Callithrix jacchus: one gene and its partner. The protein of the gene in region 2 interacts with the protein of the main gene of each other region in a biochemical or structural test. Links are inferred from orthologs where the notes say so. Each region holds a gene or a part of one and is shown on either strand. Other genes may lie near its edges.

The links. The genes of interacting proteins can lie anywhere in the genome.
Region 1: the proteins of JADE1 (region 2) and KAT7 form a complex in vitro, tested with the Homo sapiens proteins (2 studies listed by BioGRID). The link is inferred for Callithrix jacchus from reciprocal best matches to the Homo sapiens genes JADE1 and KAT7.

The regions. Positions count from the first base shown.
Region 1 is NC_133506.1:116,500,711-116,504,230, reverse strand, and holds part of KAT7 (histone acetyltransferase KAT7), read left to right. Parts: intron 1-1,147; coding exon 1,148-1,237; intron 1,238-1,424; coding exon 1,425-1,565; intron 1,566-2,950; coding exon 2,951-3,044; intron 3,045-3,520. UniProt on the Homo sapiens protein: Catalytic subunit of histone acetyltransferase HBO1 complexes, which specifically mediate acetylation of histone H3 at 'Lys-14' (H3K14ac), thereby regulating various processes, such as gene transcription, protein ubiquitination, immune regulation, stem cell pluripotent and self-renewal maintenance and embryonic development.
Region 2 is NC_133504.1:68,405,220-68,408,849, reverse strand, and holds the end of JADE1 (protein Jade-1), read left to right. Parts: intron 1-295; exon of another isoform or gene 296-472; intron 473-1,495; coding exon 1,496-2,406; 3' UTR 2,407-3,127; downstream 3,128-3,630.

The DNA of each region.
Region 1 (3,520 bases), on a different chromosome or scaffold from region 2:
GCTGCAGTGAGCTATGATTGTGCCACTGCACTTCGGCCTGGGTGACAGAGGAGACCCTAATCTCAAAAAAGAGTTTTATATATCTATGCTTTTAAACAACTTTTTTTTTTTTTTTTTGAGACAGTCTTGCTCTGTCACCTAGGCTGGAGTGCAATGGTGCTATCTCCGCTCATTGCAGCCTCCACCTCCTAGGTGCAAGCAATTCTCCTGCCTCAGCCTCCCAAGTAGCTGGGATTACAGGCGTCTGCCACCATGCTTGGCTAATTGTACTTTTAGTAGAGATGGGTTGGCCAGTCTGGTCTCAAACTCCTGACATCAGGTGATCTGCCCGCCTCAGCCTTTCAAGTGTTAGGATTACAGGTGTGAGCCACAGTGCCTGGCCTTATACAACATTTAAAAATGCAAACTTTTAACTGCAGATGGCTGGCTGGCTGGTGGGCTGCATTAAAATAATTAGCACTTGAGGCTTTAGGAAAAGGGGGTACTTTGTGCCCCCTTGTGGCCAAGTGACCCTAGCTTTCTGCTGCTCAGCCAGGCTGCCTTGCCTTTTTTTTTTATTATTATTTTTTTTTATTTTAAGTCACAGGACTTTGTCTTAATTTCCTTATGCAACAAGGAACCTCCTCCTTGTTGAGGAGAGAAGGGGAGAAGGGCTGACAGGTAGTAGTGCGTGGTTTTTACCATCGTGAGTGGGTTTTCTAATCTGAACAAAGAAGACCATAATGATTAGGTGGTAATGAGAAGTTATGGGTAAAGGTGAGAGTAAAGTACTTAGCCACCCCAAGCTTCTGGAAATAAGCTGCTTAAGAATTTCCTGCCGGCTTGAGGCATTTGGTAATAAGCAAAGGTATTCTTATTTATTTGGCCTTTATGTAGTAGGTGATTTTAATCTCCTGGGCTAAAGCAGTGCCAGAATGTAAGCCAGAATACTTAGTTCCAGATTGCTATAAAAGTGTCATAAATATATTCAAATGACTTTGGAAGCCTTTGTTTTATGGAAAAAAAATCTCTGTTTTGCTGTATGTTCTCAGCGTGTCCGACTGTCCTATAGCTCATTAACCAGAGTTGACCTGTTACTCTTTCCTTTTTGAGAAGCAGTCTTGTTGGGAGGTGTTGGTTCCCTGATGTGAATTTCATTGTCTTGCAGGCCAAGTGTGTGTGGAAACACCCACCTGGTGATGAGATATATCGCAAAGGTTCCATCTCCGTGTTTGAAGTGGATGGCAAGAAAAACAAGGTAAAAAGTGGTGACTAGAAAGGAGTCGTAATGTATATTCAGAGGTTTCAGAAGAAATGTATTTTGTCTCTGTCACATCTCGGAGGACATGTTTCATTAACAATTATGGTATGTTTGAATTTTAGGCCTTTATCTGTCTAGGAATCAGTGGCCCACACATGAACTCTGTTTCTCTCTCTGCTTCCAGATCTACTGCCAAAACCTGTGCCTGTTGGCCAAACTTTTTCTGGACCATAAGACATTATATTATGATGTGGAACCCTTCCTGTTCTATGTTATGACAGAGGCGGACAACACTGGCTGTCACCTGATTGGATATTTTTCCAAGGTAAGCAGGATCTGGAGATGAATAAGCCAGTGGCCAGAGCAGGGTGATCGATGTTGGCAGTCGGGCAGCTAAAATCACTGACAGAAGAAGCTGTACTCTGGGCGTTGATGACACCCCATCCCTTAAATAAATTTTTTACGAAAGGCAAACACATGTATCAAAGATTGTTTAATGAAAATGAAGTTTTTATTAAAAGCTCTGGTTTATTCATTTCTAGAATTGTGGACTGGAGCTGCCTATTAGTGACTGGGCAGAGCCCTCCTTAGTATCCCGCAAGCCCACATCTTGTAGTCAAGCCAACTCTCCTGGCTTTGCCTGCCTCTGTGTTATTAGCTTAAAACCAGGGATATACTCCTTTAGCCTGATTGTTTAGCTGGACTCCTTTTAACACGGTCCCTTCAGTGATAACACCACTGTGCCTTTTAAAGACCCAAGGCCAGATTTTTTTTCCTTTCTTTCTTTCTTTTTTTTGAGACAGTCTCACTCTGTTGCCCAGGCTGGAGTGCAGCAGCGTGATCTCGACTCACTGCAACCTCCACCTCTGGGTTCAAGTGACCCTTCTGCCTCAGCCTCTTGAGTAGCTGGGATAACAGGTGCCCGCCACCACGCCTGGCTGATTTTTTGTGTGTTTTTAGTGGAGATGGTGTTTTACCATGTTGGCCAGGCTGGTCTCAAACTCCTGACCTCAAGTGATCCACCCTCCTCGATGTCCCAAAGTGCTGGGTTACAGGTGTGTACCACCGTGCCACGACCAAGGCCAGATATTGTTTATGGCCTTTAGTGTAACAACTTGATTGGAATATAATTCATACACCATAAATTCACGTACTGAAAGGCTACAATTTAGTGGTTTATAGTGTATTCACAGAGTTGTGCAGTCAACCCAGTTTGCATTATCCTAAAAAGAAATTCTTAGCAATCACTCCTGTTTTCACTCAGTCCCTCTCAGCCCTTCTCTATAAAGTTCCCTATTCTGGACATTTCTTATAAGTGGAATCATACATTTTGATTTGATTCAGTGTGATTGCTCTTTTTACCCTTTGCAGAATGGGGACCTACTGTATTTTTTTCCTTCCCTTTTCTTCCAGTAGGCAGCTCCTTTTCAAAAATTGCATTTAACCTTCTTGCCCTGCTCTGTGGCTGTTAGGAACTCAGAGTCAGCCCCCTTAAAATGAGACTAGAGGTCTCAGTTAGGGAAATCTGGATGATTAATGGCTTTAGCCATCATAAAAGGTGTGGATATAACAGCTATGCACCTGGCAGCCACTCCTTGGGACTGGTTAGCCAGGTGTTTTGCAAGCAACCTTATTTTATATCTGTGGAAGTGCTGAAATCTTTGGTTTCAAATCCTCATGACATGCTCATCTGTTTGCTCTTGATTTTAGGAAAAGAATTCATTCCTCAACTACAACGTATCCTGTATCCTTACCATGCCTCAGTACATGAGACAGGGCTATGGCAAGATGCTCATTGATTTCAGTAAGTGAAACTGCTAAGTCATAAGTTCTACACTTATGGCAGGGACCATGTGAATGTTGTTGTTTGTCTTTTTGTCCTGTGGTCTCTGCAATTCCTGGAATGTAGTGGAGGTACATGGATATTTAGTAAATGAATGAACAAGTAGGAAAAACCTGAACATTGTCATTCTGCCTGATACACCTTGAACATTGAAGGAATACTTAATTAGTAGGAGGTACAGAGGATGATAATGTAAGCTCTTTAGGATTATCCCAGTTTGCGACTTTTAAAGAGCACATGCATGCATGAGGCTTAAAAATCTGTTTCTTGATGCTAGGGATTTCACTTTTGTAGGGACTTGTCTAGAGGTAATATATATACCCGATGGACCCTTAGTGTAATGTACTCTGCCCTCATTAATTGTGGATTCTGTCTGTGAATTTGCTTACTCACTAAATTTTATTTTTAACCCCCAAATCAGTCCTAACATTTTTGTA
Region 2 (3,630 bases):
TTTTCCAGACCAAGGCTTCAGTTGTGTTCTTATTTATGCCTAAAGGCTGTCTCCTGTCTGCAGTAGAGCAGATGGTCGTGATTTATGTGTCATTTAGGGTCCATGGTTTAAACTGTGTGATTCTGAGAGTGGGTAGGGTTATTTGGCTGAGTGAGAGTGTCCTCAGTGGAAACAGTGCATATGGGGGGAGGGTCATGAGTTGGAGGCTCTTTAGAGACATGGGTTACAGTCAAGGAGATAGAAATCAGAGTTCAGAAAATGTTAGCCTCTTAACCATTCTCTTTTCCCATGGCAGGTGATGGAGTAAAAGAAATATATTCAGTGTGATGTGAAGGTTGATTCGAATGATTGATTCTTGAGAAAGCAGGCATTTCCAAACCAGCAGGTTGTAAAATACCTCCTCCTGTGGTCATGACAGCTCTGTGTTCTGAGTCGCTAGCTATGTTTCATTTGCTTGCAGTGTTTGTGTCTGGTGAGCACTAGGTTCTCATGGCCTCCTGTCTCATACGGGGCTGAACCTTGTTTTCTTGGTGGTTCATATCTTATGGGAGACAGAAAACATGAGACTTGCTCTTGCGAGATGATCTTGAGGCTGCTGCAGAATCATGGTCTTTATGATGAACTCTACTGTGCTGTGAATTCACCCATTGGGGTAACAACTCATTAGTGAGTTGTGAGATGAATTCAGTGGGTCATGGCAAGCATTAAAAATAAAGTATAATAGAAAATGTCAAGGTGCATTATCAAGTGACGAGGATTAATATTATTTCATGAAATGTGAACTTTTACTAGGTAATGCTGTGGAATTTAGTCTTACTGAGATTTGCATAAAAATATTAAAAAACATCAGTTTAACTTACTTCAAGTTGAATGACAGTTCAGTTGAATCCCACAAAAGTATTTTGCACATAATAATAGTGAGTATTTTTTGGAACACTTATGATATATCAGTAATTATTTTAAACATTTCCTTTATTCATTTCACGTTTACATGTATTTATCCTCACAATAACCCTGTTGAGGGTATAGACACTTTAGAGAAACTTAGAAGCCCCAGTACTTGCTTTTTGGGTACACTCAGTCTCGTGTGGGAGGCATAAGACTGGACAGTGGAGAAGTGTGGCGCAGTGGCTGTTCTGTAACCAGGAAGGGGGCAGAGGCAGCCATCAGGCACCTGATGGGTTCTGCATGGAGTCCCCTTTGAAAATCAGATCAGTTACTTTGGAGGAACATGTATTATTTGAAGAGTAACAGTTTTATGAAAAATTATGTGAGCTTCAGCTGTTTTAGAAAATGGGGCATACTGAATCTGCAGACGAAATGCAGGTTTTCAAGGCAGGTCATATCTTTACTATAAAAACCAAATTTGTACAAACTTGGCATTGTATTGTTGGGTGGGGAGTTCACATAAATTGGGCCACACTAAGGGTCTAGAAGTTTATTCTTTTGAATTTGCTTCTGCTGTAATTTTTGTTTATTTGTTCTATGTTCCTAGGTGTGCCTTCTTCTTCCTGCTCCTCCTCCTCACTGGAAAACATGCTTTTGTTTAACAGTCCTTCTGTGGGCCCTGATGCTCCCAAGATAGAGGACCTGAAGTGGCATTCTGCATTCTTCAGAAAACAAATGGGTACTTCCTTGGTTCATTCACTGAAAAAGCCCCATAAGCGAGATCCTTTGCAGAATAGCACTGGAAGTGAAGGCAAAACCCTGCTGAAGCAGCCAGACCTGTGTGGTAGAAGGGAGGGGATGGTGGTCCCAGAAAACTTTCTGGGTATTGAAAAGACCTTTGCAGAAGCACGTCTCATATCAGCACAACAGAAAAATGGTGTGGTGATGCCAGACCACGGGAAAAGAAGAGACAATCGTTTTCATTGTGATCTCATTAAAGGAGACTTAAAGGACAAATCTTTTAAACAGAGTCACAAGCCTCTCAGGTCCACAGATGTGTCCCAGAGGCACCTGGACAACACAAGAGCTGCCACCTCCCCTGGAGTGGGGCAGTCAGCACCTGGCACAAGGAAGGAGATCGTGCCCAAGTGCAATGGCTCCCTAATCAAAGTAAACTATAATCAGACCACAGTCAAAGTGCCTACAACACCTGCCAGCCCAGTGAAAAACTGGGGAGGATTCCGGATTCCAAAGAAGGGGGAACGGCAGCAGCAGGGAGAGGCCCATGAGGGGGCCTGCCACCAGCACTCAGACTACCCATATTTGGGCTTAGGCCGAGTTCCAGCCAAGGAAAGGGCAAAAAGCAAATTAAAATCTGACAATGAGAATGACGGGTATGTCCCCGATGTGGAAATGAGTGACTCAGAGAGTGAGGCATCAGAAAAGAAATGTATACACACCAGCAGCACTATCAGCAGGAGGACAGACATTATCAGGAGAAGCATCTTGGCTTCTTGATGCAACAGAGATGATGTGGAAGCCCTTTGGGCTTGTCATTGGGTGTGCTAGAGGAGAGCTCTGATGGGGGGAGAAGCAGAAACCCATTAATCCTGATCTACACAAACACATTTACTTGCAATTCAGATTAAATTTTTTTTCCAGAGTCATTTTAAAATCATTTTTGTGAGAAGTTTGTGTTATTTGCAACTTGTTGAGGAAACAGAAGAGTAGATTGTAACCATACAACACTGCTAAGACTAGAACCCGAACTAAACACTAAAATAAGAATGAAATAAATTTTAAAGAGGGCAAGGCTTAAATAAGCCTCCTGAATTTTTACAGCCCTCTGCATTCTTCCCAAAGCACAAACTCGTGGTTACCTGAATACAGGGAACCAGATACGGTTCTTGAGAAACCTTCATGGTACCATTCACAGCCCATAAAGCTTATTTTCTAGGACTGTGGTAGATCTTGAAATCATATTTATATTTGGCCATCAAGGCTATTTTTGTTACATTATAGTATACAGGCAGCAGCTCTGAAGCTTCAGTAACACTAGGGAATTTATGTGTAAATATAGCAGTCAGGGAAGAGAGTTTTAAAAAAGGTCATTATTGGCCGGGCGCGGTGGCTCAAGCCTGTAATCCCAGCACTTTGGGAGGCCGAGGCGGGTGGATCACGAGGTCAAGACCGTCCTGGTCAACATGGTGAAACCCCGTCTCTACCAAAAATACAAAAACTTAGCTGGGCATGGTGGTGCGTGCCTGTAATCCCAGCTACTCGGGAGGCTGAGGCAGGAGAATTGCCTGAACCCAGGAGGCGGAGGTTGCGGTGAGCCGAGATCGCGCCATTGCACTCCAGCCTGGGTAACAAGAGGGAAACTCCGTCTCAAAAAAAAAAAAAAAAAAAGGTCATTATTGGAGGAGCTGAGGGGACAGGGTGGAGCTGCTGCAATGTGGAGATTTAGGGCAAATGTAGCAAGGTCCTGCTGCTTGAAGCCTGTGAGTAGGTTGTGGATATGGGACTGGTAGAGAGTGAGACTGTTAGGAAAGTTGTATCTATGAATAAGGGCAGTTGAAGTACAATTTTTATCAGTCTACTTGACCTTTCTCTTCCCTAGCCACTGGCTATGGAGCCAGCTTGGGATTTCCCTGGCCATTGCCAATACCTGGCCATCTGGCTTCCACTAGTATAACAGCTACTCAAGTTCAAGTGAAGAACTTCCAGACTCTGGTGACTCTT